Callithrix jacchus: one gene and its partners. The protein of the gene in region 1 purifies or fractionates together with the protein of each later gene. This does not show direct contact. Links are inferred from orthologs where the notes say so. Each region holds a gene or a part of one and is shown in the gene's direction. Other genes may lie near its edges.

Region 1 (9,606 bases):
AATCCACCCACCTAAGCCTCCCAAAGTGCTGGGATTACAGGCATGAGCCACCGCACCCAGCCAAAATTCTTGTCTTTAAGGAGGTTACAATGGGGCTCAGGAAAGAGATGCATGTGAAACTACTAGATGACAATGGAGAAAACAGCACTGCTGTGAAGACACAGTGCAGGGAAGTTAGGACAGAGCTCAAACTGCCCACATGCAGCTTCGCATCTTTCCTCACCTTTAGCATTTAGTTCATTCCTTTGTGCCTGCAGCCTCCGGAGGTTTTGGCTCTTATCATTCACAATCAGCTGTAATGGACAAGAGACAAATTTCATTACTCAAGGGCAGGAGACAGGAGGAGGTAGGATCTTGGTCAAGACCTCACAGGTCGGAACAAGCTGAGGGAAGGGCACACAGGGCACCTGCATGTTGTTTCAGATTCTCCAGTGTGTTTCTAATGACCCTGTCCTGTCCTCCACGAGTCCCTCTGGAGCCTAGGGCAGCCATCAAAGAAGGCTACTTGTCCAATACTGGTCCAGGAATAAGAATCTAATGGAGAAAAGTTATAGCTGGCTCATATAACACTGAATTTCTTACGAGAAGGCAACATCACCTGGTGGAAAGATCGTCAGGTGAACTCACCTGAGTTCTAGCCCAGCTACTATCAAATCAAAAGCAAGGTAAAGCTAAGGCAAGCTATTTTTAAAAATCTAGATCTGTTACCAAACGGCTCATGAGTATAGTATCAGCTGCCCCGCTGCTTTTCAGAACTACTGAGGTGAACGAATAAAAATGATAAACTAAACATAATACCTGCAAATGCACTTGGAATTCAGAATTCTTACTTGTAGCTTTCCCCCATCCAATTTATATTACAGCTGACCCCTGAACAACGCAGGAGGTGAGGGCAAAATTGAAAATCCATGGACTTGTCCCAAGTTAAACTACTAATCGCCTACTGTAACACTATAACATGACATTTAACACTAACAGCCTACTGTTTGTTGTCAGTAAGGCTTACCACACTGGAAGCTGTACCTTACTACTGGAAGCCTTACTGACAACATAAACAGTCAATTGGGGTTAGGGCGAAATTGAAAATCCATGGACTTGTCCAAAGTTAAAATACTAATAGCCCACTGTAACACTGTAACATAACACTGTAACACTAACAGCCTACTGTTTATGTTGTCCAATACTGGTTCAGGAATAACAGAATCTAATGGAGAAAAGTTACAGCTGGCTCATGTAACAGGGAATTTCTTGCAGGAAGGCAAAGTCACCTGGTGGAAAGATCTTTAGGTGAGAAGCCTGAGTTCTAGCCCAGCTGCTGTCAAATCAAAAGCAAGGTAAAGCTAAGGCAAGCCGTATTTAAAAATCTAGATCTGTTACCAAACGGCATGTGGGTATCGCATCAGCTGCCCTGCTTCTTTTCAGGATTACTGAGGTGAACAAACAAATACACATGAAAACATTCAAAAATGGTAAACTAAACATAATACCTGCAAGTATTATGCAGTAAGGCTTACTGCCTGAAGCCACACCAACTTACTCCTGGAAGCCTTACTGACAACATTAACAGTCCATAAATGGTCCTTTTTCTATGGTTAAGTGCTTTAGGTTAGAGCTCTGGGTTGCCCAGTTTCTTTCATTCAGTCTCCATGGAATGAGCATTGTTCAGAGGTCTCAATGATGCCCTTCCTCACATTCTCACTTCATCCTGACCCAACCTCTTCGTGATAAATCTCATCTCCTGAGCCTGTGTGTTCCCTTTTCTAAGGAAACACACTCGGGCTTCTTCCAAAAGGGTTGACCTTTGGCTAGAGGTATCTTTTCTGTTAAGATTTGACTCTTAAAGATGTGGAACAAACCGTGAACACTAGAACCCTCAAAGGGGTGGGACTTGAGAACAAGAGATTGCTTACTTCCAACATACACACCCCACTAAGAAACAAACAAGAAAGAAGCAGCAGCAGCTTCTTCCACTGCACTCCCAGAGGAATTAGATTTGTGGAAGTCAGCAGCCATCCCTCCCAACCCCTCTCCTAGCTCCCGCTGGAGTCTGTCCTCACCTGGAGTTCTTCAATCTTGGACAGATAATATTGGCGGAGACCGCTGCCTGCCTTCCCCTCCTCCAGCTCCATCTGAAGACACAGAGTGAGTCTTAAACGACAGGCTAAACGTCCGAGGGGGTAAAGCCACTTGCAGGGCACTTTGAATTAGTCTTGACACCAGGCAGCTTTGCGTAGTAAAAAAGTTTGTACTTCCGAGGCTCGGGATCTGGGTTCTAATCCCTCCCTCTCTTGGAACCCTCCATTTTCTCATGATTAAAATAAAATGGGAACGCCGCCTACCTCGCAAGACTTTTAGGAGGACCGAGGGGCGATATATACACGGGAGCTCTTTGCACTGCGTCAAGCGCGCTACAAGCCCGAGTGGTCATTACTGCCGACGGAGCCAGCGAAACGGAGCCGAAGGACTGGCGTCCGATCTCCTGCGATCCGCGGGCCGGCTGTTCCCGCGCCCATTGCTCCCCTTACTCACTCCACTTCTACCGTGTCTCCTCTTCCAGCCTTGCCCTGACTCACCGAGGGCGGCGCTGACACAGCAGATCCGGTCGCAGGCAGCATCCAGCCTGGACTGGTCCAGCCACCTCCTACCCACCCGACTCTCCTGCGCCGGCCCGCTCTCCACTCAGATGACACCCGCTCCTCACACAGCCCCATAACCCGCCGGGCCGCCACTGCAGCCGCCATACCTGCTCTGGCCCGTCAAGCGCCATCTTCCCTTTTCAGCAGAGACAGCCGGCATCCGATCCGTCTTGGAGCGCAGGCGCGGAAGACAAGGCTTGAGACCTGACGACTAGGCAGACAAAAGTTCCGGGTCAGTGGGCGGAGTGTGCGGCGAGTCCGCACTAACTAAGGGTACCATGATGGGAGGGGCGGCTACTCGAGTTCATGGGCTTTGGAAAAGGAAGAAGAGGGAGTAGCATGCCTCAGTGTTCCCGCATAGAAACTATGTTTATGTGCTGTAATATGCCTCCCTGGTCCCAACTTTCAACTTACAAAACCCGAGGACAGAGTATCGAGAAAAAAAAAAAAAAAAAAAATCTATGGCCACACGCAAAATGGCGGAAAACCTTGAGCCAGGGACGCAGGGACGCAAACGGAAGCGGAAGTACGTTTGCTGCCTACTTGTGCAGTTTCAAGCGGCGCTGGGTCTAGGTGGAGTGTGTGGAACCCGGCGCGAGGTGGAATTGCTGCGGAAAGTGGGAAACTGGAAGTAGAATCTGGTGCTCCGGAAAGACACGTTCCCAACTTCTACTTTCTCCTCAGATTGAGCGCTACTCCTCCATTCCACCATGGGCAAGAAGGGCAAAGTTGGCAAGAGCCGACGGGACAAGTTTTATCACTTGGCGAAGGAGACGGGTGAGTCTGGATTCGGATTCGCTCCGTCTGCGAGCGAGCGAGCGAGCGATCTCTTCCCGGTTCGCTTCCAGTTTCCGACCATTGGGTTCCTCTCCTGCAGAACGGGTGGTGGTCTGCGAGGCCGGAGAAATCCTGCTGGTGAAGCCCTCTATGCACTTGGTTGTTTTGTCCAGGTTACCGTTCCCGATCTGCTTTCAAGCTGATCCAGCTCAATCGCCGCTTTCAGTTCCTGCAGAAAGCCCGAGCCTTGCTGGATCTGTGTGCTGCGCCAGGGGGGTGGTACGTAACACTTGCCACAAGTGGCAGCTTTCTGGGTTCAGAGCCGGGATGGATTCCAGTTTCGTTGCGGGAGGACGGGATTCGGGATTCCCCTCCCGCAATACAGTAATTCCAGCCTCATATTTATCTACAGCCCAGAGCATAGGTCCCTCCTAAACCTTGGGGGACCGTTTCCTTTCTTGATTGCAGAGAAAAGGCTTGGAATACGTACCTGTGGCATGCTCTGGCCAGTGCATGTAACACCAGGAATGAGAGGTCAGTTGCCAAGAGAGGGAAAGGGTTGGCTCTAGGTTTTAAATCTCTATTCCTTTTATAGGCTGCAGGTAGCTGCCAAGTTTATGCCTGTATCCAGCCTTATTGTGGGTGAGTGAGGACAGCTCTCCTTCGTGTTTTAAGGGATGGGTGTATGAGGTACTTTGTCATGTATTTCTCTCCTCCCTGTTTGAGGCAAAAGTATTCCTTTAAATACTCTGACCTGATTTCTTCCAGGAGTGGACCTGGTTCCAATCAAGCCTCTCCCCAATGTGGTGACTCTGCAGGAGGATATCACAACTGAACGCTGTAGGCAGGTAACAGGAGTCTCTCTCTTCCTTTCCCGTTTATACTCAAACATCCACATCCCCAAAATCCTCTAGAAGCAAGTTTAGAGGATGTTCCATGTTTTGAGCACGTTCCCGCCTGACATCTGTATGACAAGACCCATGGTTTCCATAGTGTCCACTCCAGCATTTATTTAGAGTCAGGGATGAAGGTGCTTGGAATCGGGATAAGGACAGAGATCTTTAGTGAAGTCTTTTCTTATGAACTCACTGTTAGACTCTACACTCCATGAAGGTAGCAACGTAATATTTTTGTTTAATGTTATCTTCTGTGCCTGGAACAGCATTTGGCCCATGATAGGCACTCAACAAATGACTGGATGGACAAATGGCTGAATTAGGCCTATTACTGTGTCTCTGTTTCCATAGTTCTTTTTATTCTCTTTAGGCCTTGAGGAAGGAGCTGAAGACCTGGAAGGTTGATGTTGTGCTAAATGATGGGGCCCCCAACATTGGGGCTAGCTGGGTCCATGATGCTTACTCACAAGGTACAAGGAGTGTGGCACTTGGAGATCAGGTGATGGTGGAGGTGGGCGCATGCCCTCTTGGGCTGCAGAATGCCTCAGCTGTCTCTATCCTACAGCCCATTTGACACTGATGGCTCTGCGTTTGGCTTGTGACTTTTTGGCCCGTGGTGGCTGCTTCATCACAAAGGTTTTCCGTTCCCGTGACTATCAGCCTCTGCTATGGATCTTTCAGCAGCTGTTCCGCCGTGTCCAGGCCACCAAGCCCCAAGCGTCTCGCCATGAATCTGCAGAGATCTTTGTGGTCTGCCAAGGTGGGCATCACTTCCTTTCTTTTGGTCCAGCCTTCCTACTCCCAAAGCATAATTTTTAACATATCCTGTCATTTTTAGGATTCCTGGCCCCAGTCAAGGTTGACAGTAAATTCTTTGACCCCAAATTCGCCTTCAAGGAGGTAGAAGTTCAGGCTAAGACTGTTACTGAATTGGTGACTAAGAAGAAGCCAAAGGTGTGTTTTGGGGAGTGGGGTCACCGTTGGGTCCTGGAACTCTGGGGAAGTTGGGCCTCATACCCTAGAAGGGACTGCCCAACCTTCTCTATTTTTCTCCCTAAGGCCGAAGGCTATGCTGAGGGTGACCTCACTCTCTATCACCGTACCTCAGTCACTGACTTCCTCCGAGCTGCCAACCCTGTTGACTTCCTCTCCAAGGCCAGCGAAGTGAGTCTCCAGCCTTGAGGGACATGAGGTAACCCTGGAAACATGGCCTGAGAATCTCCTTTCCCTCCTCCCAAACAGATCATGATAGATGATGAAGAGTTGGTACAGCATCCAGCCACCACTGAGGATATACAGGTGTGCTGTCAGGACATCAGAGTATTAGGGCGCAAGGAACTCAGGTATGCAGTAGGGTGGGCATGGGGGCCAGGAGCCCTGGAGGCAGGGAAAGGCCATGATGTTGGATCTCTGGGAAGGGGATGTTGCTGTGCTAAAGGTTTGGGGTGGGGGCCTGAGCCTTTTGATTTATATAGCCAAAGCCTGAAATTTGGTTAGTGAGCCTAAAACAGAAGTGGGCAGGAACAAAGAGGGAGATGGCAAGACCAGTAATATTATTTCTGGGGCAGGTCGCTACTAAACTGGAGAACAAAACTTCGGCGATATGTGGCCAAGAAGCTGAAAGAACAAGCAGAGGCACTGGACATCAGGTGAGGAGGGAACTCAGCCAGGCGGGTGTTAAGGGAAAGTCGGGAAAATAACCTAACTCCTTGGACTGTTTTGCCAGCCTCAGCTCTGGAGAGGAAGATGAAGGTGATGAGAAGGACTCAATAGCTGGGACCACAGTGCAGCCCTCTGAGGAGGAGGAGGAGGAACAACTGAACCATACCCTGGCCAAAATAAAGGCCCAGGAGGTGGCAGAATTAAAGAGGTGAGAGGAGCTGGGGTGAAGCATGGAGTCTCCCAACGCAGGGATCCTCCATGTGACAATGGGAGAAGAAAATGCAAGGCATGGATAGAAACTCTTCAGAGCTGGGCACATTTACTCCCTCAATCCACCCCCTCAGGAAGAAAAAGAAGCTGTTGCGTGAGCAGAGAAAGCAGCGGGAGCGTGTGGAGCTGAAGATGGATCTGCCTGGGGTTTCCATCGCAGATGAGGGGGAGACTGGCATGTTCTCCCTGCGCACCATCCGGGGCCATCAGGTGAGGCAACATTGGGGTTGCAGGTTTAGGAGACAGAAGATCCATGTGGGAGTTTGGAGGTGGGGGGTGTTGAATGTCTTTTTTAGTTCCTGAACAATGGGCTGTGGTTGCTGTCTTCACCACAAGATGCCTTGGTGAGTCTAAGGCCACAAGCAAACCTTAAAGGATGAAGTTAGGAAGACAGATGGGTGTACTACATTTATTGTTGTAGAACTAGAACATCAGAAAAGAACTTAGGTTATAGTTGATGCAGCCAGGTTACTTGAGTTACAAACAGATGAATAGAGGGTCTCCATCAGAGGGGAGCAGCATTCTTGAGTTCACTGAGACCAAGTGAGCACGTGCATTAGACTTCTTCCACTGAATACTGAAGAACATGTTTTTCCTGACAAAATCAGGGTCACAGGCAAAATGAACTTTTGTGGCTTTTGTGAGGGAGTGTCATAATCAGGTCATCTTTGTTGTGTAGGAGGCAGTAGAGCATGGTGGGCCTAGAGCAGACACAGGCTCAGATTTCCTTCCCAGCTCTACCACCTGGAGCTGTGTGAAGTGACTGAACTATCATTTATCCTTGCTGCTTCAGTTTCCTCATCTGTAAAACAATAATAGAACCTACCTACTAGAGTTCTTATGAGGAATAAAGATGGTCAGTTGTAATCCCTCCTATGTGATAAACACTCAAGAAACAGTAGTTGGGGTCTTTTTATTTAGACAGGGCCTTGCTTTGTCACCCAGGCTGGAGTGCAGTGGTGCCATTATGACTCACTGTACCCTCAAACTCCTTGCATCAAGCAATCCTCCTGCCTCAGCCTCCCAAAGCGCTGGGATTACAGGTGTGAGCCACCATACCCAGCCTACTATCTTTGCCATGAGGAAAATAAAAAGTTCTGACAGTTGGTTTAAGTGGAATAGTTTGGTTGAATGTTTTTTGGCTGGGCCCCTTTTATTTAGTGGAAACAAATTGTGTAGATGGTCTTCTCAGGAGGTGACTGAGATGCCATCTGAGAGTAATTTTTAAAAGAAAACCAACGTTGTAGAATATGTTAAGATTTGGTGCTAGGGTACTTTTCCTTAAGACCTATTTGTGCTACCACTGAGACAAGACAGCTGAGTGGGAGAGACCAGTAACCCAGCCTAGAACAGGGTGTTGTAAACAGGCCATTCACTACCCTGGGTGTGAGCTTTCCCGTCTGCGAAAGGAGATAATGGATTTGCCAGTGTTCTTTCTTGCATTGCTGAGCATAGACTGAGGTGAGGGATGCAGAAAAAAACAGTATGTTTTCTTTACCTCTTTGTTTGTTACACTTCAGTTATTAGAGGAAGTAACACAAGGGGACATGAGTGCAGCAGACACATTTCTATCCAATCTGCCAAGGGATGACATCTGTGTGTCAGATGTTGAGGACGATAGTGATGACACATCTCTGGATAGTGACCTGGATCCAGAGGAGCTGGCAGGAGTCAGGGAACATCGGTGTCTAAGGGACAGAAAGTGGTAAGGGGCACGTGTGTGTGCCAGAGGGAATGCTGCCACTCTGAGGCAGCACTGGGTGGGTACTGCCAGAGCCCAAGTAAGGGAGCAAGGGCTCCAGGCACTCTGGGTCCCTGAGCCCTCTCCTACTTTCCTTTGGATCTACAGTGTGCGATTTGCTGAAGCGGAAGATGATCAAGAGGAGGAAAATGAGAATCCACTGCTGGTACCACTGGAGGAAAAGGCAGTACTGCAGGAAGAACAAGCCAACCTGTGGTTCTCAAAGGTATGAAGAGGCTGGAGGCAAGACTGATGGGAGGTCAGCCTTCCCTGGGAGAAGGTCAGCTGACATTCTCCCATCACAGGGCAGCTTTGCTGGGATTGAGGACGATGCCGACGAGGCCCTGGAGATCAGCCAGGCCCAGCTGTTGTTCGAGAGCCGGCGGAAGGGACAGCAGCAGCCACAGCCACTGACACCGCCTTCCAGTTTGAAGACTGAGAGAATGTCTCCCCTGTGCCAGGATGAAACCCCTAAGGGAACAGAGGCTTCTTCAGGAACAGAAGCTGCCACTAGCCCTGAAGGGGAAGAAAAGGATGGCAGCTCAGATAGTGATAGCAGTAGTAGCAGTGAGGATGAAGAGAGGTGAGTGGTTGCAGCTGATAAGAGAAGTGATAGGAAGCAGTGGCTTGAACCATTTCTCTGAATTGGGGGTTCTCAATCTTAGCTCCAGATGGGGAGAGTTAAAAATACTATACTGATGATCCTGATTCAACTGGTCTGGGCTACAGTCTGGGTGGCAGGATTTTTGTAAATTCTGTGGGAGTATGGTCTGAGTAGTAGGGAGAGTGGTGGCATCACTCAGAGTCCTCCCCTCTTCACAGCTGGGAACCTCTCCGTGGTAAGAGAAGCCATGGGCGTAAGTCAAATGATGGTGGGTTTGAGATCGTGCCGATTGAGGACCCAGGTGAGTATACCGTGGACCCATTCTGTATACCGTGGAATGAGAGGAGACCACTGAAGTCTCAGTATTGGGAATAGAGCTTTGATCTTTCTCCTTCCCTCTTTAGTGAAACATCGGATACTGGACCCTGAAGGACTTGCTCTAGGTGCTGTTATTGCCTCTTCCAAAAAGGCCAAGAGAGAACTCATAGATAACTCCTTCAACAGGTAAAGAGGCCAGAAACTCATCAAGAGTGACCCAGGGTCTGGTGTGTAAATGGGTAGTTTCTTTTTTCTGAGACAGTCTCACTCTGTCGCCCAGGCTGGAGTGCCATGGCGCCATCTCAGCTCACTGCAACCTCTGCCTCCCAGTTCAAGTGATTCTCCTGCCTCAGCCTCCCAAGTAGCTGGGACTACAGGCGCTCACCACCATGCACGGCTAATTTTTTGTATTTTTAGTAGAGACAGGGTTTCACCATGTTGGCCAGGCTGATCTTGAACCCCTGACCTCAGGTGATCCACCCACCTCGGCTTTCCAAAGTGCTGAGATTACAGGCTCACGCCCAGTTGGGTAATGTCTTTAGAAAGCCTAGAGTGTTGGTTATTGGGCTGATGTCCTTTCCCCCTCAGGTACACATTTAATGAGGATGAGGGGGAGCTTCCAGAGTGGTTTGTGCAAGAGGAAAAGCAGCACCGGATACGACAGTTGCCTGTTGGTAAGAAGGAAGTGGAGCACTACCGGAA
Region 2 (9,726 bases), on another chromosome or scaffold:
AGCCCTTGAGGCAACCAGCATTGGGCAAGGACACTAAGAGAAGAGGTTGGGGTCAGGTGCGGTGGCTCATGCCTGTAATCCCAGCACTTTGGGAGGCTGAGGCTGGCAAATCACGAGGTCAGGAGTTTGAGACCAGCCTGACCAACATGGTGAAACTCTCATCTATACTTAAAATACAAAAATTAGCCATGCGTGGTGGTGAGCACCTGTAATCCCAGCTACTCAGGAGGCTGAGGCAGGAGAATCACTTGAATCTAGGAGGCAGAGGTTGCAGTGAGCTTAGATGGATGCAGGATGCATTCCATTCTGGGCAACTGACTGGGTAACAGAGTGAGACTCTGTTTAAAAAAGGAAAAAAAAAAAAAAGGAGGTTAGGGACCAAAGGGTTGGATGGTTGTTTGTGCAAACCCATACCTTTGAGCAGAGTATTGTCCACAGCCACGGCAATCACACATCCAGATCTCATTAGAAGACTCGCCAGCACATATATTAGCCCATGGCCCAGCCAGTGCTAAAAAAGAGAAATGTGAGAGCAGAGCTCGTGACATCAGACATTTCCAATCTCCATTTGCCACATTAGTCACAGTGGATCCTGACAATTCTGTTTTCACTGTAACTTTCCCTGAACTTTCTGTAGTTTATGGGAAGGTTGTCCTTCCAGAATTTTAATATCCTAATTCCGATGTAAAATTGGTTATTCCCTGGCTACAGAATTTGGCTTCGTGACCTTAGCATATCAGTAAATGTATTTATTTATTGGCATTAGCCTCCGTCAATATACTTTGCTTCAGGTCCAGTAGTAAATGGGATAAGTTGTGCTTTTCTATTTTTCTTTGCTCATTACTGGCATGGGGATCACTATGGTTAGATTAAGCAAAAATAAGAAAACAGCATGGCTCAGAAAATAATTTTAGAAGTTCTAAAGTGATGTTGAAATGGTTAGTTCTACTAATCGAATCCTACCAAATGTTGGAATTAAAGGAGAAATAAACTCTGAACTAGACAAGTTTGTTTAACACTAGATAAATCTCTTTCATGGTTGCAAACACAGAAGAGGAGGAGTCTTAGAAATAATCTGCAATGTCAAACCAATTTAGCCTCAACTGAGATGAGGAGAGAAGGTGGGAAAGGAGTAGAACCAGTTATCTAAAAAATTATGAAACATGGAGGAGAGGCTGCTTTCTCAGTGGACTTGGTGCAAACTTTGTTTTAGGCACAATATGTCTCTTTAGTATAGCAAGCACTCGATAAATGTTCAATTGAGTTAAACGTCCTGGATTTCCGGTGTTAACATTCACAGAGAAATACAGTGAGCACACTCAACCTTGCACTTTGAAACAAACAAGCAAAAGCAAGAGCCTGATTATTTGACTATTGATTTTATTTATTTATTTATTTATTTATTTTTTAAAAAGACATTTATTCAGCGTCACGATCAGACTAATTAAAATCTTCTGCCACTGCCATAGCTACTGCTGCTACTGGAACTGCCATAGCCACCTTGGTTTCGTGGTTTGGCAAAGTATTGGCCGCCACCACCATAGGGGCCAGAGCTTCTGCCTCCAAAGTTTCCTCCCTTCATGGGTCCAAAATTTGAAGACTGATTGTTGTAACTGCCAAAATCATTGTAGCTTCCACCACCTCCAAAATTGCCTCCATCATTACCAAATCCATTATAGCCATCCCCACTGCCACCATAACCACCACCACCACAGCTGCCACCAAAGCCACCATGACCACTGAAATTTCCTCCACGACCAAAGTTGTCATTCCCACCAAAACCACCTCCACGACCACCACCAAAGTTTCCAGAACCACTTCGACCTCTTTGGCTGGATGAAGCACTAGCCATCTCTTGCTTTGACAGGGCTTTCCTAACTTCACAGTTGTGGCCATTCACAGTATGGTATTTCTGAATGACAATCTTATCCACGGAGTCATGGTCGTCAAAGGTTACAAAGGCAAAGCCCCTTTTCTTGCCACTGCCTCTGTCCGTCATGATTTCAATCACTTCAATTTTTCCATACTGTTCAAAATAATCTCTTAGGTGATGTTCTTCAGTGTCTTCTTTAATGCCACCAACGAATATTTTTTTCACAGTTAAGTGGGCACTTGGTCTTTGAGAATCTTCTCTTGAGACAGCTCTCTTTGGTTCCACAACTCTTCCATCCACTTTGTGTGGCCTTGCATTCATGGCTGCATCCACCTCCTCCACAGTTGCATACGTGACGAACCCAAAGCCCCTGGAGCGCTTGGTGTTTGGATCTCTCATGACCACACAGTCTGTGAGCGTTCCCCATTGCTCAAAATGGCTCCTGAGGCTCTCATCGGTTGTTTCAAAGCTCAACCCTCCAATGAAGAGCTTCCTCAGCTGTTCCGGCTCTTTAGGAGACTCTGACTTAGACATGATCGCGGGGAGAAGAAAGACTTTAACGATGCTGCTTCGGCGGCGTCCACGGGCAGAAAGGACGACTATTGATTTTATTTAAAGACATTTTACTCTTTGTTAATACATATGCTGTGAAAAGAAACTACAGAACGTGGCCATTAAGCCTATTCTTTAAAATAGTTTTAAAGGATGGGTTTCAAAAGCTTTGGGACTATAGGTGTACGCCACCATATCCAGCTAATTTTTGTATTTTAATTAATTTACTTATTTTTTATTCACAGACGGGGTTTTGCCATGTTGGCCAGGCTGGTCTCGAACTCCTGACCTCAGGTGATTGCCTGCCTTGCCTCCCAAAGTGCTAGGATTACAGGCATGAGCCACCGCACCCCACCTGTATTTTATTTTTTATTTTTATTTTTGGAGATGGAGACTCGCTCTATCACTCATGCTCCCAGGCTGGAGTGCTGTGGTGTGATCTTGCCTCACTGCAACCTCTGCCTCCTGGGTTCAAGTAATACTCTGCCTCAGCCTCCTGAGTAGCTGGGATTACAAGTGCCTGCCCCCATGCCTGGCTAATTTTTGTATTTTTTTATTAGAGACAGGGTTTCACCATCTTGGCCAGGCTGATCTTGACTCTTGACCTCATGATCCACCTGCCTGGGCCTCCCAAAGTGCTGGAATTAGAGGCGCCCACGAAAGTATGATTTTTCTTTTTTTTTTTTCCCTGAGATGTTGTCTCACTCTGTCACCCAGGCTGGAGTGCAGTGGCACAATCTTCACTTACTGCAACCTCCACCTCCCGGGTTCAAGTGATTCTCCTGGCTCAGCCTCCGGAGTAAGTTGGGATTACAGTCGCCTGCCACCACGCCTGGCTAATATTTGTATTTTTAGTAGAGACAGGGTTTTGCCATTTTGGCCAGGCTGGTCTTGAACTCCTGACCTCAGGTGATCCGCCCACCTCAGCCTCCCAAAGCACTGGGATTACAGGTGTGAGCTACCGCGCGTGGCCTCCAAGTATGATTTCAACTGAGTATATTCCTCACTTGAAAATGTTTTGCAGAATTCTGTTACCTTTCTGTTGTGGCATGTGCTAGCATGTTATTACTTTGCTGTTAGTCATCTTCTGTTGAAAACTAGGTGGAAGCTTTGTAGTCCCCCAGTTACACAGATTTTGAGAAAGGGAAATTTCCTTTGCACTCTTACTGAGGTCTGAAAACACTGTTGGAACCACCGTTTTAGGTTGGAAAATATAACTGCTGTAAGTATATGTATGGGAATGCAGATCTCACGGCTTTTAACTTTCCACAGCACAGGAAGTACATAAAGTAGCTGATATTACAATTCAAATGTCATCAAAGTGACTTTTCAGCCTTGTAAGTTTTGAATGTAAGTGGTTTTGGCTTTTAATTCTAAATTGAATTGACTTAAATTCATGAAGAAACAGCAAGTTGGCAGCAAAATCTACTTTCTTAACCTGTTCAGTATTTGATGAAAATAGAAATTTTAAGTCCCCAGGCTGTAAGTTCCCTAAGGGCGACGGACGGAGGAACACAGGAGGGGCTCAGACACTAGTGAGTGAAAGAATAAGCAAATTAGGGCCGGGCTCGGTGGCTCACGCATGTAATCCCAACACTTGGAGAGGCTGAGTCGGGTGGATCACCTGAAGTCAGGAGTTCGAGACCAGGGTATCCTGCAAAATTAGCCGGGGGTGGTGGCGGGCTCCTGCAATCCCAGCTGTTCAGGAGGCTGAGGCAGGAGAATCGCTGGAACCCGGAAGGCGGCGATTGCGGTGAGCCGAGATCGCGCCATTGCCCTCCAGCCTGAGCAACGAGAGCGAAACTCCTTTTCGATTAAAAAAGAATAAATAAATAAGCAAATTAAGGAATGAGAGCAGCATCTCAAGAGCACAGGTATTGTTTTGAAATTGATTTTAGACCTCCTTTGCAAGTCGGCGTGAATGTAATTGTTTCAGGCACTTTTTTTTTTGAGACCGAGTCTCGGTGTCATCCAGGCTGGAGTGCAATGGCGCGATCCTGCCTCATCGCAAACTCCCGTCTCCCGGGTTCAAGCGATTCTCCCGCCTCAGCCTCCGGAGAAGCTGAGATGACAGGCACAGGCCACCGCGCCCGGCAGGCACTCTTAAGCGAAGCCAATCCGCGCCTCGCCAGCGGAGGGCGCCGGATCTCGCCGCGGCCCAGCCCCAGACACACCCCCGCGCCTCAGCCCCAGACACACCCCCGCGCCTCGCCACGCCCCCTAGCCTGCCCCCGCGTTTTGGCGTGCTTACTCCCCACCCTCCGCTTCTTGTCACGCCTGGTGCCACGCCCCAGTGCCTCCGCGCAATACGTGCCCCTCGCCACGCCTCGTGCCCCGCCCTTGCCCCCGGAGCAATTTATACCCCGCCCCCTTGCCTTGCCGCACCGCGTGCCCCGTTCCCTCTCCGCCGCGCCACTCCAGCTCCAACCCGGGTCCCGACTCTTGGCCCTCCCCGTCCCTCGCCACGCCTTCCACAGCGCTTCGCGGCGCCCGGGTCCTGATTCTACTTCCGTCTCGGAGGAATTGGGAGGCCGACGTTTCCGGTAGTGCCGCGTGGAGTTAGTGGCCGCTTTTGGCATGGCGGTGTTATCTGGTCCGGCTGCTCCAGTCTTGTCGCTTAACCCGCAAGAAGATGGCGAGTTTCAAAAGGAGGTGGCGCAGGTTCGCAAGCGCATAACCCAGGTGAGCAGGCGCCCTAGCCCAGGCTGTGAGTACGGGAGACGCATCGGGTCTAGGGGGTTTCTCGGGTTGCGCAGTTCCCGGCCCGGCTCCTCTTGCCTTCGCGCGCGCCTTCGTTACCTCCAGGGTCTCCCATCTGGATTCGCCTGAATCAGGGACCGACCTCTTGAGCTTGCAGGCCACGGTTTCCCAGACTAAAGGATTTACGCTGGTCAGTACATTATGGAGGGGTTTGGCCGCTGAGGACTTGGAGCCTTCATGTGGAGAGTAAGGGGGAGGTATTGGGTGACGGAAGCGGAGGAAGGACCCAGCTGGAGGGAATGGGCTCCCATACTGCAGATTATCTCCGGGTTAGAGCTGTCACTGCCGCGTTGCCTCCGAAAATGGAGGCCCCAGACTTACCACTTTCGGGAGGTTTGTATGCCGGGTTGGAGATCTGAGAGTTATTAAAATACTTTATTTGCCAAGTTGCGCTTGCTGACTAGGGCCCCTGACATCCCTTATACTTTCTGTGGTTTTTAGCATACAATACACCGGGAAACTTAGACGTTCTTGTTACAGAGGTAACAGACGACTGAGACGCTGAAAGGCTAATCTGTACTGTGAGAGTTAACAATCATCTGGAGAATTTTTCGATGAAGTGCGAGTAAACAGTATGCATACAAAGTGATGGGTACAGTTATATAGAGTTCTCCGGGCAGAAGATGTAAAATGGCTTGTTCAGGGTTGTCCTTGCTTATCCGCTGATTGACATAGTTATTGAGCACTGACATTTTACTGAGTGGTGGGGTGCCAGGCTGGAAAGACAGTCGACTACTGCTCAGCCATGGCCTTTGTGGGTAGAGACATTAAACAGCCAGTTCTTTAATTACTGCTGTGGTAAGTGGAAATGCAGAGTAGGTTCTTGGGTCGAGGGCTGGGACTAGGAGTTTTGCAAGCTTTGTTGCAATGTGATTTTCTTAAAGATATTTAGCTGGTCGCTGTGGCTCACACCTGTAATCCTAGCACTTCGGGAGGCTGAGGAGGGTGTATCACCTGAGGTCAGGAGTTCGAGATCATCCTGGCCAACATGGTGAATCCTCGTCTCTACTAAAAATACAAAAAAATAGCGGGGGGCGTGGTGGCAGGCGCCTTTAATCCCAGCTACTCGGGAGGCTGAGGCAGGAGAATTGCTTGAATCTGAGAGACGGAGGTTGTAGTGAGCCAAGATCAGGCCACTACAGTCCAGCCTGGGCAACAAAAGGGAAACTCCATCTCAAAAAAAAAAGAAAAAATAATTTACCTGGTCTTTATGTCTTCAGCGAAACAAACAAGAACAGCTTACCCCTGGAGTCGTCTATGTGCGCCACCTGCCTAACCTACTTGACGAAACCCAGATCTTTTCCTATTTCTCCCAGTTTGGCACTGTGACACGGTTCAGACTGTCCAGAAGTAAAAGGGTAAGATTTTTGTAATTGTGTTTGCTGTTTTGTTTTTCAAATGTGTATTATCTTTGACATTAAAGAGCACGTTCACTTATGTATTATTGTTTATCAGATTTCATTGCAAAAAGGAGAGCGGCTGAGGTTTAGAATCTGAAAGGGCCGGGCCAGGCGCGGTGGCTCAAGCCTGTAATCCTAGCACTTTGGGAGGCCGAGGCGGGTGGATCACGAGGTCAAGAGATCAAGACCATCCTGGTCAACATGGTGAAACCCCGTCTCTACTAAAAATACATAAAAGTAGCTGGGCATGGTGGTGCATACCTGTAATCCCAGCTACTTAGGAGGCTGAGGCAGAAGAATTGCCTGAACCCAGGAGGTGGAGGTTGCAGTGAGCCGAGATCGCGCCATTGCACTCCAGCCTGGGTAGCAAGAGTGAAATCTGTCTCAAAAAAAAAAAAAAAAGAATCTGGAACGGCCACAGGAGCAAAATCAGTATTATTGTAAAAGTTTGTTTGTTACATTGCTCCAAATCCTTATATTAAGTTGACAGTCCTGGTAAATGAACTTATGTATGAGGACTAGGTTCATCCATCTTGTATTAGCCTTTGGTACAAGCATCCCTATCATAGCAAAGATTTATATGGTGAATAAAGATAAGGACTCTGGAGTTGGACTGCCAAGCTTTAGGGCCAGGCTCTAGCCCTTACTAGTTAGAGTGATATGACCATACCATGCTCAGTGTTGTGATCTGTTATATGTGAGTAAAACTTTATGGGAGTATTTAGTCAAAGGTTAAAAGAAATAATATATATAAAATCCTTAGAATTATTGCTTGGCACACAGCAAACACTATATAAGTGTAATTACTATTGTGTCATACCTGCCTTCTAATGAGAAAAAGGTGTATGTAACTTGTTCCAAGAGTAGAGGAGTGACCCACTTTGTTCCACTTTCTTTTCTTTTTTTTGAGATGGAGCCTTGCTGTGGCCCAGGCTGCTGGAGTGCAATGATGCAATCTCTGCTCACTGCAACCTCTGCCTCCCGGGTTCAAGTAGTTCTCAGCCTCCTGAGTAGCTATGATTACCGGTGCCCACTACCACACCTGGCTAATTTTTTGTATTTTTAGTAGAGATTGGGTTTCACCATCTTGGCCAGGCTGGTCTTGAACTCCTGACCTTGTGATCCACCCACCTCAGCCTCCCAAAGTGCTGGGATTACGGGAGTGAACTGCCTCACCTAGCCTACCCACTTTATTTTTTCCCCACACATAAACTTTAATGGGTTGTAGCCATAGACGCCTATTTGATTTAGCATCTAGGGCATAGGGTGTGCATCCATCATCTGTTAGTTATCCTAAAGATACAGATTATAGGTAGAATTGAGGTCCCTTTCCTACCCTTCCCAAGGCTCTTCACCTTCTCCTTTAAGTAGGGAATTAAATTCACAAATTCAGTTTTCAGTGCTATCTATAAGTTTTTATTACATATATAAATGTATATATGGTATTATTTTTAAATTCTATTATTTCTATCCTTTTTCAGCTGAATTCTTTTGTTCAGTAATCAGCATTATTCCTGTATCTCTAGTGCCTTTGTTATCATCATTGCTTGTTACTTGTAACTGAAGTTTATCCACCCTCCTATTGAACATTAGGTGTTGTTTTTTTGTTTTATTTTTTTGAGACAATCTCACTGTGTCACCAGGTAGCCATAGTGTAGTAGGGCGATCTCGGCTCACTGTATCTGCACCTCCCAGGTTCAAGTGATTCTCCTGCCTCAGCCTCCTGAGTAGCTGGGATTACAGGTATCTGCCCCTGTACCTGGCTAATATTTGTATGTTGAGTAGAAACAGGGTTTCACCATGTTGGCCAAGTTGGTCTCGAACTCCTGACCTCAGGTGATCCGCCCATCTTGGCCTCCCAAAACGCTGGGATTACAGCATGAGCGAGTCACTGTACCCACCCCAAACATTAGGTTTTTTACTACTCTTAACTCTTTAGATGAAGCTGCCATGAAGTCTTTATGCAGGTATAGGCAGATTTATTTAGAACAGTATTTTGCAGACTTTGGTTCTCAGTAAGAAGTCAGTTTTTACCATCACAAAGAAGATAAGGGTTTAAAAGAAAAAAGTAAGTTTTACAGCACAGACCAGCACATGTACACATGCATGTAAGCATAACTGAAATAAAAGTCAAATGAGACAATGTTTAAACTTGTTTTGTTGGATGATTTTGTTTCATTCTACTCAGGTTTTTGTTTTTGTTTTTGGTTTTTTGGTTTTTGTTTTGTTTGAGACAGAGTCTCACTCTGTTACCTAGGCTGGAATACAGTGGTACAATCTCAGCTCACTGCAGTCTCCACCTCCCTGGTTCAAGTGATTCTCCTGCCTCAGCCTCCCAAGTAGCTGGGATTACAGGTGTGCGCCACCACACCCAGCTAATTTTTGTATTTTTAGTAGAGACAGCGTTTCACCATTTTGGCCAGGCTGGTCTCAAACTCCTGATGGGGATCCACTCACCTCAGCCTCCCAAAGGACTTAGATTATAGGTGTGAGCCACCATGACTGGCCTAGTTTTGTTTGTTTTTTAGTATCCTTGTGACCTAAACTGATCCTATTACCCCCTCAAAAGGTCAGGCTCTGAGTTTGAAAAGTGCAAGTGTTTTCCCGTGTTGCAATATAGTAATTGTTCCCCCAGCTGTGTGTTTTTATTTGTAGGCTATAGAGAAGTAGAAGAAATAGTGGGATGGTCATCTCTACAGTCCTCACCTGGATTCACCCATTATTAACATCCTAACACATTAGCTTCATTGTTTTGTTACTATATAAACACCTACACACACACTCTTTTTTCCTGAACCATTAGAAAAAAGCAGCAGTTATACTACTTTAGATACTTCATCATAAATCTGAGAATGAAGACATGTCTTTCAATATAACCACAGTATAATGGTATATAATGCACTGTCTTTTTGTATCTCCAGTTGTTCCCAAAATGGTTTTTTGTTTGTATGTTTGTTTTGTTTTTTAAGAAGGAATCTGGCTCTGTTGTCCAGGCTGGAGTTGAGTGGCACAATCTCAGCTCACTGCAATCTCCACCTCCCAGGTTCATGCGATTCTCCTGCCTCACCCTCCCGAATAGCTAGGACTACAGGCATGCGCCACCACACCCGGCTAATTTTTGTATTTTTTAATAGAGACGGG
Region 3 (9,549 bases), on another chromosome or scaffold:
AAACAAAAATATATTTTTTGTTTTTATTTATTTATTTTTATTTTAGAGATGGGGTTTCACCATGTTGGCCAGGATGGTCTCGATCTCTTGACCTCGTGATCCGCCCGCCTCAGCCTCCCAAAGTGCTGGGATTACAGGCGTGAGCCACCGTGCCCGGCCAAAAATATTTTTAAATAGAAAAATAACTTTTCTTTTTTTGAGACAGAGTCTCCCTCTGTCACCCAGGCTGGAGTGCAGTGGCGTGATCTCTGCTTACCGTAACCTCTGCCTCCCAGGTTCAAGCATTCTTCTGCCTCCGTGCCTCAGGTAGCTGAGGTTACAGGTGTGCACTACTATCATGCCTGGCTAATTTTTGTGTTTTTAGTAGAGATGGCTTTTTTGTCTTATTGGCCAGGCTGGTCTTGAACTCTTGACCTCAAGTGATCTTCCCGCCTAAACCTCCCAAAGTGCTGGGATTACAGGCATGAGCCACCACACCCAGCCAAAATGTTTTTGAAGAGTAGTTGATAAAGAGTAGATGATAAAAAGATACTTAACTGTAACTGAATGAAAACATAACATGGATATGTATATAGTATGATCTCAGTTTTGTAAAAAACTATGCACAAAACCTAAAAAGAAAAATATCAGAATGTTAGTATTTCTTCTAGAAGGTAGGACTATCTGTTTTTAATTTTTGGTATTGTCTAAATTGAGTTTTTATCATTTTTGTATAAGAACCTAAAAGATAAAGAGTTTTAAAAACAAGCACATTCAAAAGGAAAGAAAAAAGGTACAAGGCAAGTTAAACTGCTTGGGTATGGGAATGAGCTGTCCATGAAGTTCTTTATAGGTCCTTATTACCATGAGAAACGACGAGGCGAGCTTAGAAGCCACACAAGTGAGCAAAGTGAGTTACCAGTCCAACTCCCATTTCCTCTTATGCCTTGTCCAGCTCTTAGAACAGGCTCTGGTGATTGAGGAACAGCTGCGCCGGGCTGCTTACTTGAACATGTCAGAAGACCCTTCTCACCCTTCCATGGCCCTCAACACCCGCTTTGCTGAGGTGGAGTGTTTGGCGGAAAGTCATCAGCACCTGTCCAAGGAGTCAATGGCAGGAAACAAGCCAGCCAATGCAGTCCTGCACAAAGGTAGCCAGTGGCTCCCCTGCCTCCTGCTGATTCAGCTTCCTTCCTCATCTGACCCCATCCCAGTGTATATATATCTGTTTTCAAACCTTTTTCAGAGCTTCTTTGGGAGGTTAGGAGGTAATAGGGATCTTTGCCATCCTAGGGAAGCTAATATCTTAGAGGCAATCAAAGACAGTACTTTGCCTCCTTTTTTTTTTTTTTAAAGACGGAGTCTTACTCTGTTGCCCAGACTGCAGTGTAGTGGCGCGATCTCAGCTCACTGCAAACTCCATCTGGGAGTTTAATTTCCTGTCTCAGCCTCCTGAGTAGCTGGGATTACAGGCGTCCACATGACCTTGGGTGATCCAGCCTCCCAAACGGCCTTTTTTTTTTTTTTTTTTAAAAGAGATGGTTCTTGGCTGTGCACAGTGGCTTAGGCCTGTAATCTCATCACTTCGGGAGGACTTGGCCCACTGCAACTTCTACCTCCTGTGTTCAAGCGATTCTCCTGCCTCAGTCTCCTGAGTAGCCGGGACTACAGGCATGCAGCACCACTTGTGGCTGATTTTTGTATTTTTATTAGAGAGAGGGTTTCACCATGTTTGCCAGGCTGGTCTTGAACTGACTTCAAGTGATCCACCTGCCTTGCCCTCCCAAAGTGCTGGGATTATAGGCGTGCAGATCCACTGTGTCTGGCCCTGGCCACCTATTTTAACTTTAAATATATTCAGGTTCTTGAGATGGAAAGCAAAGCACAATAATACAGTGTCATTTGGGATACTTTAGAGGTAACTTCAGGTGATAAAAGATCCCTTCAAATTCTAGACCCCTTTCAACATTTTGTTTCTAATTAAAGAAAAGGTTATGAGGAGGTGGAGGGTGAAATGAGGAAAAGAATGCTGTTATAATGGAGGTGGGAGACAGATTCTGAAGGTAGAGAATTATTAAGAGAAAAGAAAATAGGAATAAGCTTCTCAAGAAGGGGAAATACCATAATACCAAGGGATAGTGAAGGTTTAGGTGACTTTAAAAAGCACAGGATTATGGACAGTTGGAACTGGAATATGAGAAATGGGAATTGGAACATGATGGAGGTCAGGTGACAGAAGACAGTAGCACATCACAGTCACTTGGTCACTGAGAAGTGACGGGGGGGCTGGTCCACTAGGATAGAGGGAGCTCAGTCTTGGCCACCACAGCTCACCACCTCTTTTTCTCCCTATGCAGTTCTGAAACAGTTGGAAGAACTGCTGAGTGACATGAAAGCCGATGTGACTCGACTCCCAGCTACCATTGCCCGAATTCCCCCAGTTGCTGTGAGGTTACAGATGTCAGAGCGTAACATTCTCAGCCGCCTGGCAAACCGGGCACCCGAGCCTACCCCACAGCAGGTAGGACCATTTTCTTCTCGATGCCACCTCTTCCTACAGAACCATTCTAGAGTTTGTAACTTTGCTGTATGTCCCTCGCTTTGCATACTGGGTGGATGGGCTATCTGAATTCCCTTGAGATTGGGTAGCTTCCTGTCATCTGGAATTCTGACTCCTTGGTTCTCTTTCTCTATAGGTAGCCCAGCAGCAGTGAAGATGCAGATTGATACCACCTCCACCACTGAGCAGTGACCTTCCTCACTTTTCTCTTGTCCCAGCTTCTCCCTTGGGGGCCTGAGAGACCCTCACCTTCCTTCTGCCCATCTTCCATGATATAAACGAACAGCCCCCGTGCACTGGGAGAGGGGTGGGAGTGAGGGGCAGTGGTGCCCTTCCTGCAGGAGAGACATGCAGCAGTAGCGCCGGCGCCATCTGCAGGAGCTGGCGGGCTGGCCTCTGGACCCTGGCTTCTCCCCACTGTAACGCCTGTTACAAACTGTTGTGGGTTCCTGCCAGGCTTGAAGAAAATGATCTAAATTTCTTCCTCCTTTTGGTTTTATTTTGTTGGTTTATTTTATGTTTTCTTTTCTCCTTTTTGGGGGGTATTCAGAGTGGGCTGGGCCCCTGGGCGAGACACAGCTACCTCTGTTGGCATCTTTTTAATACCAGGAACCCAGCGGCTCTAGCCACTGAGCGGCTAAATGAAATAAAGTAGAAAAAAAAAAAAAAGGAAAAAACCAAAAGCATAAAAAACCACAGCAAATTTCTTGATGAAAATTGAAAATAAAAGTTTCCTTGTATTTTAGTGCTCTGGTTCAGTGTGGGTGTAGGTGCAGGTGGATGAGTGTGTGTGGCAGGAGCCTGGCACCTGTATAATTGAAAATTAAGGTATCCTGATACTCCACTGAAGAGCTGGGTTCTGTGTGTGGGTGCAGTGTGTGCCCAGCCAAGGATGACTTCTACCTGTGGAAAACGAGAGGCTGCAAAACTGGAGGACCACAGCTTGATAGCTCTGTGACCTTGAGCAAGTTGTTTCACTTACGTGGGATGCAGATTTCTCATGTATAAAACAAAAAGATAAACCCTCATGGTTGTCAAGTTAAACCAGTAGAGTACTTTTAAGTTTTTAACATCTACTAACCACTATCTTAATGTTAGTTTCAGGGAAGGCTGAGGGAGGTTTTTCTTGTTCAGTTGTGCAAAATGGGGATGCAATTTGTGGAAGAGCACACCCTCGATTTAACACCACCGGAGACTGGACCAAACACCCTCCCACCCCGAAATCCTGGTAGCTCACCCTTCCGTCCCAGACTAGGTCAGCCTTGCAACCCGTCGTTTCCCAACGAATTATAGACTTGCCTGAAAGCGAGTTCGGGCCGAGACGCCCCCTGTGAACGAGGTGCAGTGCAACACCTCAGCTGAGGGGCTGAGCATGTGTGAACGTCAAGGAAGAGGCTGGTAGGGCGGGGCGCGGTGGCTCAGAGCCTGTAATCTCAGCACAAAGGCGGGGGATGATCGCTTAAACCCAGGCGATATAGTGAGACTCCCCCTCCCCCCCCCACCCCGTCTCTATAAAAGATTTTTAAAAAGGGGAGGCTGGAAGTAGAAGGTAAGTAAGTGGTAAGGAATTCCATGATTTTTTTCTCTTTTTGAAGTGGAGTTTTGCTCGTGCTCAGGCTGGAGTGAAGCGGCACGATCTCCGCTCACTGCAACCTCTGCATCCCGGGTTCACGCAATTCTGCCTCAGCCTCCCAAGCAGCTGAGATTATAGGCGCCCACCACTACGCCCGGCTAATTTTTGTATTTTTAATAGAGATGGGGGTTTCACCATGTTGGCCAAGCTGGTCTCGAACTTCTGACCTCCGGCGATCCACCCACCTCGGTCTCCCAAAGTGCTGGGATTACAGGCGTGAGCCACTGCGCCCGGCCTGGAACTACATTATCTCGATGCTGGATTAAAGCAGTGCATGCCAGGGAGAGGACCCCGCTGTCGGGCCCCGGTTCGAGGAGAGGGTGCGGCTTTCACGCACCAGCTTTTCCGACAGAAACCAGCCGTGAGGCTCAAAGCCAACTCCTTGAAGGAAGGGGGGGGCAAGCTGAGAGGTTTCGTCACATTGCTCCTTCCATCCCCCGAGGGTGTAAGCTGCGCGTTCCCTTCGAATTTCCCCCTGCCAGCTTCCGCCCGCCCAGCGCGCTTTCCCAGAGCAAGCGTAAGTTCCGGGTGCGGCGGCCTACTGGTCGCAACCGGAAGAGGCGGGGCCACGAGGCTAGCGCTACCCATGCGCCTGCGTGGGACGGTTCTGTGGCAACTGCGGGCCGAAAGCTAGCTCCGGAGTACACGTGGAGCGCCGCCCGAAGGGCAGTCTCAGGCGGTAACCCGCGTTCTGGTGGGTCTAGAGGAAGCTGGGGGACGAAGAGTGGCAGCGCTGACCTGGTCTGGGACGTGGGGAGAGGGATGCGCTACCTGGGTTTCCGAGTGGGAGGACGTTTGATCGGGCCTCCAGGGGGATAGCGGGGGTGCTTGAGTCGCGGGTGCTGAGTCGTGGGTGCTGAGTTGAGGCTGTGCCTTTTCCCACTCTGATACGCCAAGCCTGCGTTCTGCCATTCCCTCTGACACGCACGACGCTATCTTCTCCCATTTCTGTATGCCACAGTACCATGGGGCGTAAGTTGGACCCTACGAAGAAGGAGAAGCGGGGGCCAGGCCGAAAGGCCCGGAAGCAGAAGGGTGCCGAGACCGAACTCGCCAGATTCTTGCCTACAGGTAACAATTAGTTGTGGCCCCCTGATCCCTCAGCTTTTGCAGTATTCTGTATCATAACCTCCGCTCTTTTTTCATCTCTGTTCATTTTCTATTCAGTCTTCTCTGTATGAGTTACTACGAGGTATAAATGAAACACTGTCGTTGAGATTGTAGGAACTGTTTAGGTCATAGAGAAGATGTGACATGGACACAACTATTCCTGCAAAGAAAAGTGCGATTTAAAACATTGTGGGTTCAGAGGAAGGGAGATCCTATGCAGAACTGTAAAAGTTTTTGTTAAAATGGGTTTTGAAAAATGGGTAACATTGTAGTAAGAGAAGTAGCGAAAGGGGAGGGGTCGGTCAATGACTTGCCTTTTGGAAGGTATGGAAATGGAAAAGCATGGATCTGGCTTCTCCATGCCGATCCGTCTGCTGTGTGGAAGACTGGACTGGGAGTTTGTGTTGGGCAGTGGATAAAGGATGCAGTTTATTGAGATGGTACCAAATCCTGGACACTATTGAACTTGTTGGTTATGTTATATCACTTCATCGTCTTAGAGTCCTGTGAGAGAGGCACTATTAAGGAAGTGGATGCTGAGACGTTAAGAAACTCGTATAGCCAGGTATGGTGGCTCACGCCTGTAATCCCAGCGCTTTGGGAGGCCGAGGAAGATGAATCACCTGAGGTCAGGTATTCGAGATCAGCCTGGCCAACATGGTGAAACCCGGTCTCTACTAAAAATACAAAATTGTGGTGTCTCAGGCCTGTAGTCCCACATACTTGGGAGGCTGAGGTAAGAGAATCTCTTGAACCAGGGAGATGGATGTTGTAGTGAGCCGAGATTGCTCTATTGCACTCCAACTTGGGAGACAAGAGTGAAACTCCATTTCAAAAAAAAAAAAACTGGTATACAGCTATTATATAATGATAGGGCTGAAATTCAAATGGCCTCCCTTTAATTAGGGTACTAATTCTCTTACCACTTTTATTTTCATTCCCGTTTTTGTTTTTTATTTACTTTTATTTATTTATTTTTTTTGAGATGGAGTCTTGCTCTGTCGGAGTGTGGGTTATAATGCAGTGGTGTGATCTTGGCTCACTGCAACCTCCGCCTCCCAGGTTCAAGCAATTCTCCTGCCTCAGCCTCCCGAGTAGCTGGGACTACAGGCGCATGCCACCATGCCTAGCTAATTTTTGTATTTTTAGTAGAGACAGGGTTTCACCATGTTGGCCAGGATGGTCTTGATCTCTTGACCTCGTGATCTGCACGCCTTGGCCTCCCAAAGCGTTGGCATTACAGGCATGAGGCGCCGCACCCAGCCCTCCTTTACTTTTAATGTCTCCTGTAACTTATTCTGCCTCATTTTTCTTTTTTAAACAGTAAGTGATGAAAATTCCAAGAGGTTGTCTAGTCGTGCTCGAAAGAGGTAAGTGTGGGTATCAAGACTTCAGTAGGTTAAATTGGTACTGCTCATCTTTGACCACAGAGTTAATTGTGGACTCTCATATTTCCCCGTGGTGGAAATGGCAGAGCCTGGAAGTATCTTCCCATTTCTTCACTCCTTGTATCTCTTGTATATTTTCAGAGCAGCCAAGAGGAGGTTTGGCTCTGCTGAAGCCCCTGAGACAAATAAGTCTCCTGAGGCCAAGCTGTTGCCTGGAAAGCTACCACAAGGTCAGTGAAACTAAGAGCTGGATGCTACATGTGGAGTCCTCTGGGTCCTGGGTAGGGAAGGACTTGCTGAACATTTCTAGAAAGGAACAGCCAAAGGACATTCTGAGGAGTAGAAAGTACAGGCTCCTAGGGTGTGGGGCCAGGGAATGTGTGGCTGCCATTAGTTCAGAACTCTTCAAACCCTTAGGGATCTCTGCAGGAGCTGTCCAGACAGCTGATAAGAAGGGAACCCAGTCCCTATTTAATGCTGCTCGAGGCAAGAAGCGCCCAGCACCTAGCAGTGATGAGGAAGAGGAAGACTCTGAAGAAGATGGTGTGGTGAACCACGGGGACCTCTGGGGCTCCGAGGACAGTGATGCTGGTATGGTAGATGACTATGGAGCTGACTCCAACTCTGAGAATGAGGAGGAAGGTGAAGAGGTGAGATTCATCTCTCGGGGCATTCAGAGAAGGTCCTTTCCATTTAGTTTTTTTCTAGATTTTTGAGACTATTTTTTAGTGACAAGGATAAGCCCGATTAGAGGAAAGCAATTTTTGTGCTCCATCACTGTTTCCCTACTGCCTTACATCCTCTCCCAGTGCACCTACAAGTTTGAAACTGCTGTGGATAGAGCATTTAAAAAAATCTGGAAGGCTCTGCTGATGTGGATGTGGGAAGGTGGACAATGGTATGTTCCACCGACGGGAATAGACATGTAGGCACTGTTTTTATAAAGCAGTTAACTCAGAACTTTGAAAAATGTGTTCCGGCCGGGCGTGGTGGTTCAAGCCTGTAATCCCAGCACTTTGGGAGGCCAAGGTGGGTGGATCACGAGGTCAACAGATCGAGACCATCCTGGTCAACATGGTGAAACCCCGTCTCTACTAAAAATACAAAAAATTAGCTGGGCATGGTGGCACGTGCCTGTAATCCCAGCTACTCAGGAGGCTGAGGCAGGAGAATTGCCTGAACCCAGGAGGCGGAGGTTGCGGTGAGCCGAGATCGCGCCATTGCACTCCAGCCTGGGTAACAAGAGTGAAACTCCGTCTCAAAAAAAAAGAAAAGAAAAGAAAAATGTGTTCCTTTTGGCTGGGTATGGTGGCTCACATCTATAATCCCGCACTTTGGGAGGTTAAAGCAGGAGGATTTCTTGAGACCAGGAGTTGGAGACTAGCTTGGACAACATAGAGTGAACCTGTATCTACAAAAAATTTTAAAAATTGGCCGAGTGCAGTGGCTCACACCTGTAATCCTAGCACTTTCGGAAGCTGGGTGGATCACCTGAGCTCAGGAGTTCGAGACCAGCCTGGGCAACAAAATGAGACTCAAAAAAAAAATAGCTGGTGTGGTGGCATACGCCTGTAGTCCCAGCTACTCAGGAGGCTGAGGCGGGAAGATGACTGGAGCTTGGGAGGTTAAGGATGCAGTGACCTACGATCTTTACTGCACTCCAGCCTGGATGACAGAGTGATACTGTCTCAGAAAAAAACAAAACAAAACTGAATCCTTTTGACATAGTAATTCCCTGTTAAGGAAGATGACCCAAAATGTAGGCAAAGAGTTATTTACTGAGGTGTGCAGGAAATTATTATAAAATTAGTGTGCGAATGTATTATTAGAATTGTATAGAATAAAAAAAGTTTCCATGTGCACCCTTTCCTGCAACGCCTTATATCTACAGAGTCACTATGAGGTTTGCAGGCACCATGTTGATCATGATGGCAGAAACTCTGGAAACTTCCAAAATATACAATCTGCTTAAGTATATTCATGCATATGATGTAGTTAACACTGGTCATTATGTCTGTGAAAATGCTTGTGATCTAACTGAAGTATCAAAAGCAAGAAACAAACTTGAAAATGCATTATGTGAAAAATATAGAGTAAGTCTGGAAAAAATATGGCAAAATGGTGGCCAAGGGCAATTTTTTGTCTTTTTTTTTTTTTTTTTTTTTGCAACCTCTGTTTCCCGAGTTCAAACGATTCTCCTGTCTCGGCCTTCTGAGTAGCTGGGACTACAGGTGTGTACCACTACGTCCGGCTAATTTTTTGTATTTTTAGTAGAGACAGGGTTTCATCGTGTTAGCAGGATGGTCTTGATCTCCTGACCTCATGATCCGCCTGCCTTGCCTCAGCCTCCCAAATGATGGGATGACAGTTGTGAGCCACCATGCCTGTCCTTGTCCCTTTTTATACATACAGGTATTTGTATTTCAAGTTTTTTTTTCTGAATGGAAAAGTGAAAAACATAGGAGTAGAAAAAAAAAGTGTAATTACCGATTTAATTCATTACTTAGTTTTTGTTTTTTTTTTTGAGATGGAGTCTTGCTCGGTCGCTCAGGCTAGAGTGCAGTGGCTCAATCCCAGCTCACTGCAACCTCCACCTGCTGGGTTCAAGCAATTCTCCTGCCTCAGCCTCCCAAGTAGCTGGGATTATAGATGTGTGCCACCACGCCTGGCTAATTCATTACTTAGTTTCAACAGTGGTCAGTATTGTACCAATCTTATGTTCATTTCTTTGCTTCTCTATTTCCTTCTGAGAGCAAGTGTCAACATTTTTATTTAGCAGAAAAAATAAGATACAGAGATAGAAAGTGCTTCATGGGCTGATGGAAAGGCAGGCCTGTGTTAACAACCCTTGTCTCTTCAGTTGCTGCCCATTGAAAAAG

What was found.
Region 2: the proteins of FTSJ3 (region 1) and NIFK fractionate together in Homo sapiens (co-fractionation; 3 studies listed by BioGRID, with this or other methods). This does not show direct contact. The link is inferred for Callithrix jacchus from reciprocal best matches to the Homo sapiens genes FTSJ3 and NIFK.
Region 3: the proteins of FTSJ3 (region 1) and NOP2 fractionate together in Homo sapiens (co-fractionation; 3 studies listed by BioGRID and IntAct, with this or other methods). This does not show direct contact. The link is inferred for Callithrix jacchus from reciprocal best matches to the Homo sapiens genes FTSJ3 and NOP2.

Annotation. Positions count from the first base shown.
Region 1 is NC_133506.1:89,100,446-89,110,051, reverse strand, and holds the start of FTSJ3 (pre-rRNA 2'-O-ribose RNA methyltransferase FTSJ3), read left to right. Parts: upstream 1-3,183; 5' UTR 3,184-3,235; intron 3,236-3,320; 5' UTR 3,321-3,346; coding exon 3,347-3,413; intron 3,414-3,586; coding exon 3,587-3,692; intron 3,693-4,008; coding exon 4,009-4,055; intron 4,056-4,181; coding exon 4,182-4,261; intron 4,262-4,679; coding exon 4,680-4,779; intron 4,780-4,874; coding exon 4,875-5,069; intron 5,070-5,147; coding exon 5,148-5,263; intron 5,264-5,368; coding exon 5,369-5,473; intron 5,474-5,551; coding exon 5,552-5,652; intron 5,653-5,877; coding exon 5,878-5,958; intron 5,959-6,035; coding exon 6,036-6,179; intron 6,180-6,315; coding exon 6,316-6,451; intron 6,452-7,761; coding exon 7,762-7,946; intron 7,947-8,090; coding exon 8,091-8,208; intron 8,209-8,287; coding exon 8,288-8,565; intron 8,566-8,804; coding exon 8,805-8,887; intron 8,888-8,990; coding exon 8,991-9,090; intron 9,091-9,492; coding exon 9,493-9,606. Other genes in the region: PSMC5 (26S proteasome regulatory subunit 8), read right to left, coding at 224-293, 2,058-2,129, 2,744-2,767.
Region 2 is NC_133507.1:106,283,628-106,293,353, reverse strand, and holds the start of NIFK (MKI67 FHA domain-interacting nucleolar phosphoprotein), read left to right. Parts: upstream 1-4,958; 5' UTR 4,959-5,002; coding exon 5,003-5,107; intron 5,108-6,405; coding exon 6,406-6,543; intron 6,544-9,726.
Region 3 is NC_133510.1:20,754,498-20,764,046, reverse strand, and holds the start of NOP2 (28S rRNA (cytosine(4447)-C(5))-methyltransferase), read left to right. Parts: upstream 1-4,781; 5' UTR 4,782-4,866; intron 4,867-5,133; 5' UTR 5,134-5,137; coding exon 5,138-5,243; intron 5,244-6,606; coding exon 6,607-6,652; intron 6,653-6,811; coding exon 6,812-6,900; intron 6,901-7,087; coding exon 7,088-7,320; intron 7,321-9,530; coding exon 9,531-9,549. Other genes in the region: CHD4 (chromodomain-helicase-DNA-binding protein 4), read left to right, coding at 935-1,130, 2,337-2,500, 2,676-2,693. UniProt on the Homo sapiens protein: S-adenosyl-L-methionine-dependent methyltransferase that specifically methylates the C(5) position of cytosine 4447 in 28S rRNA. Required for efficient rRNA processing and 60S ribosomal subunit biogenesis.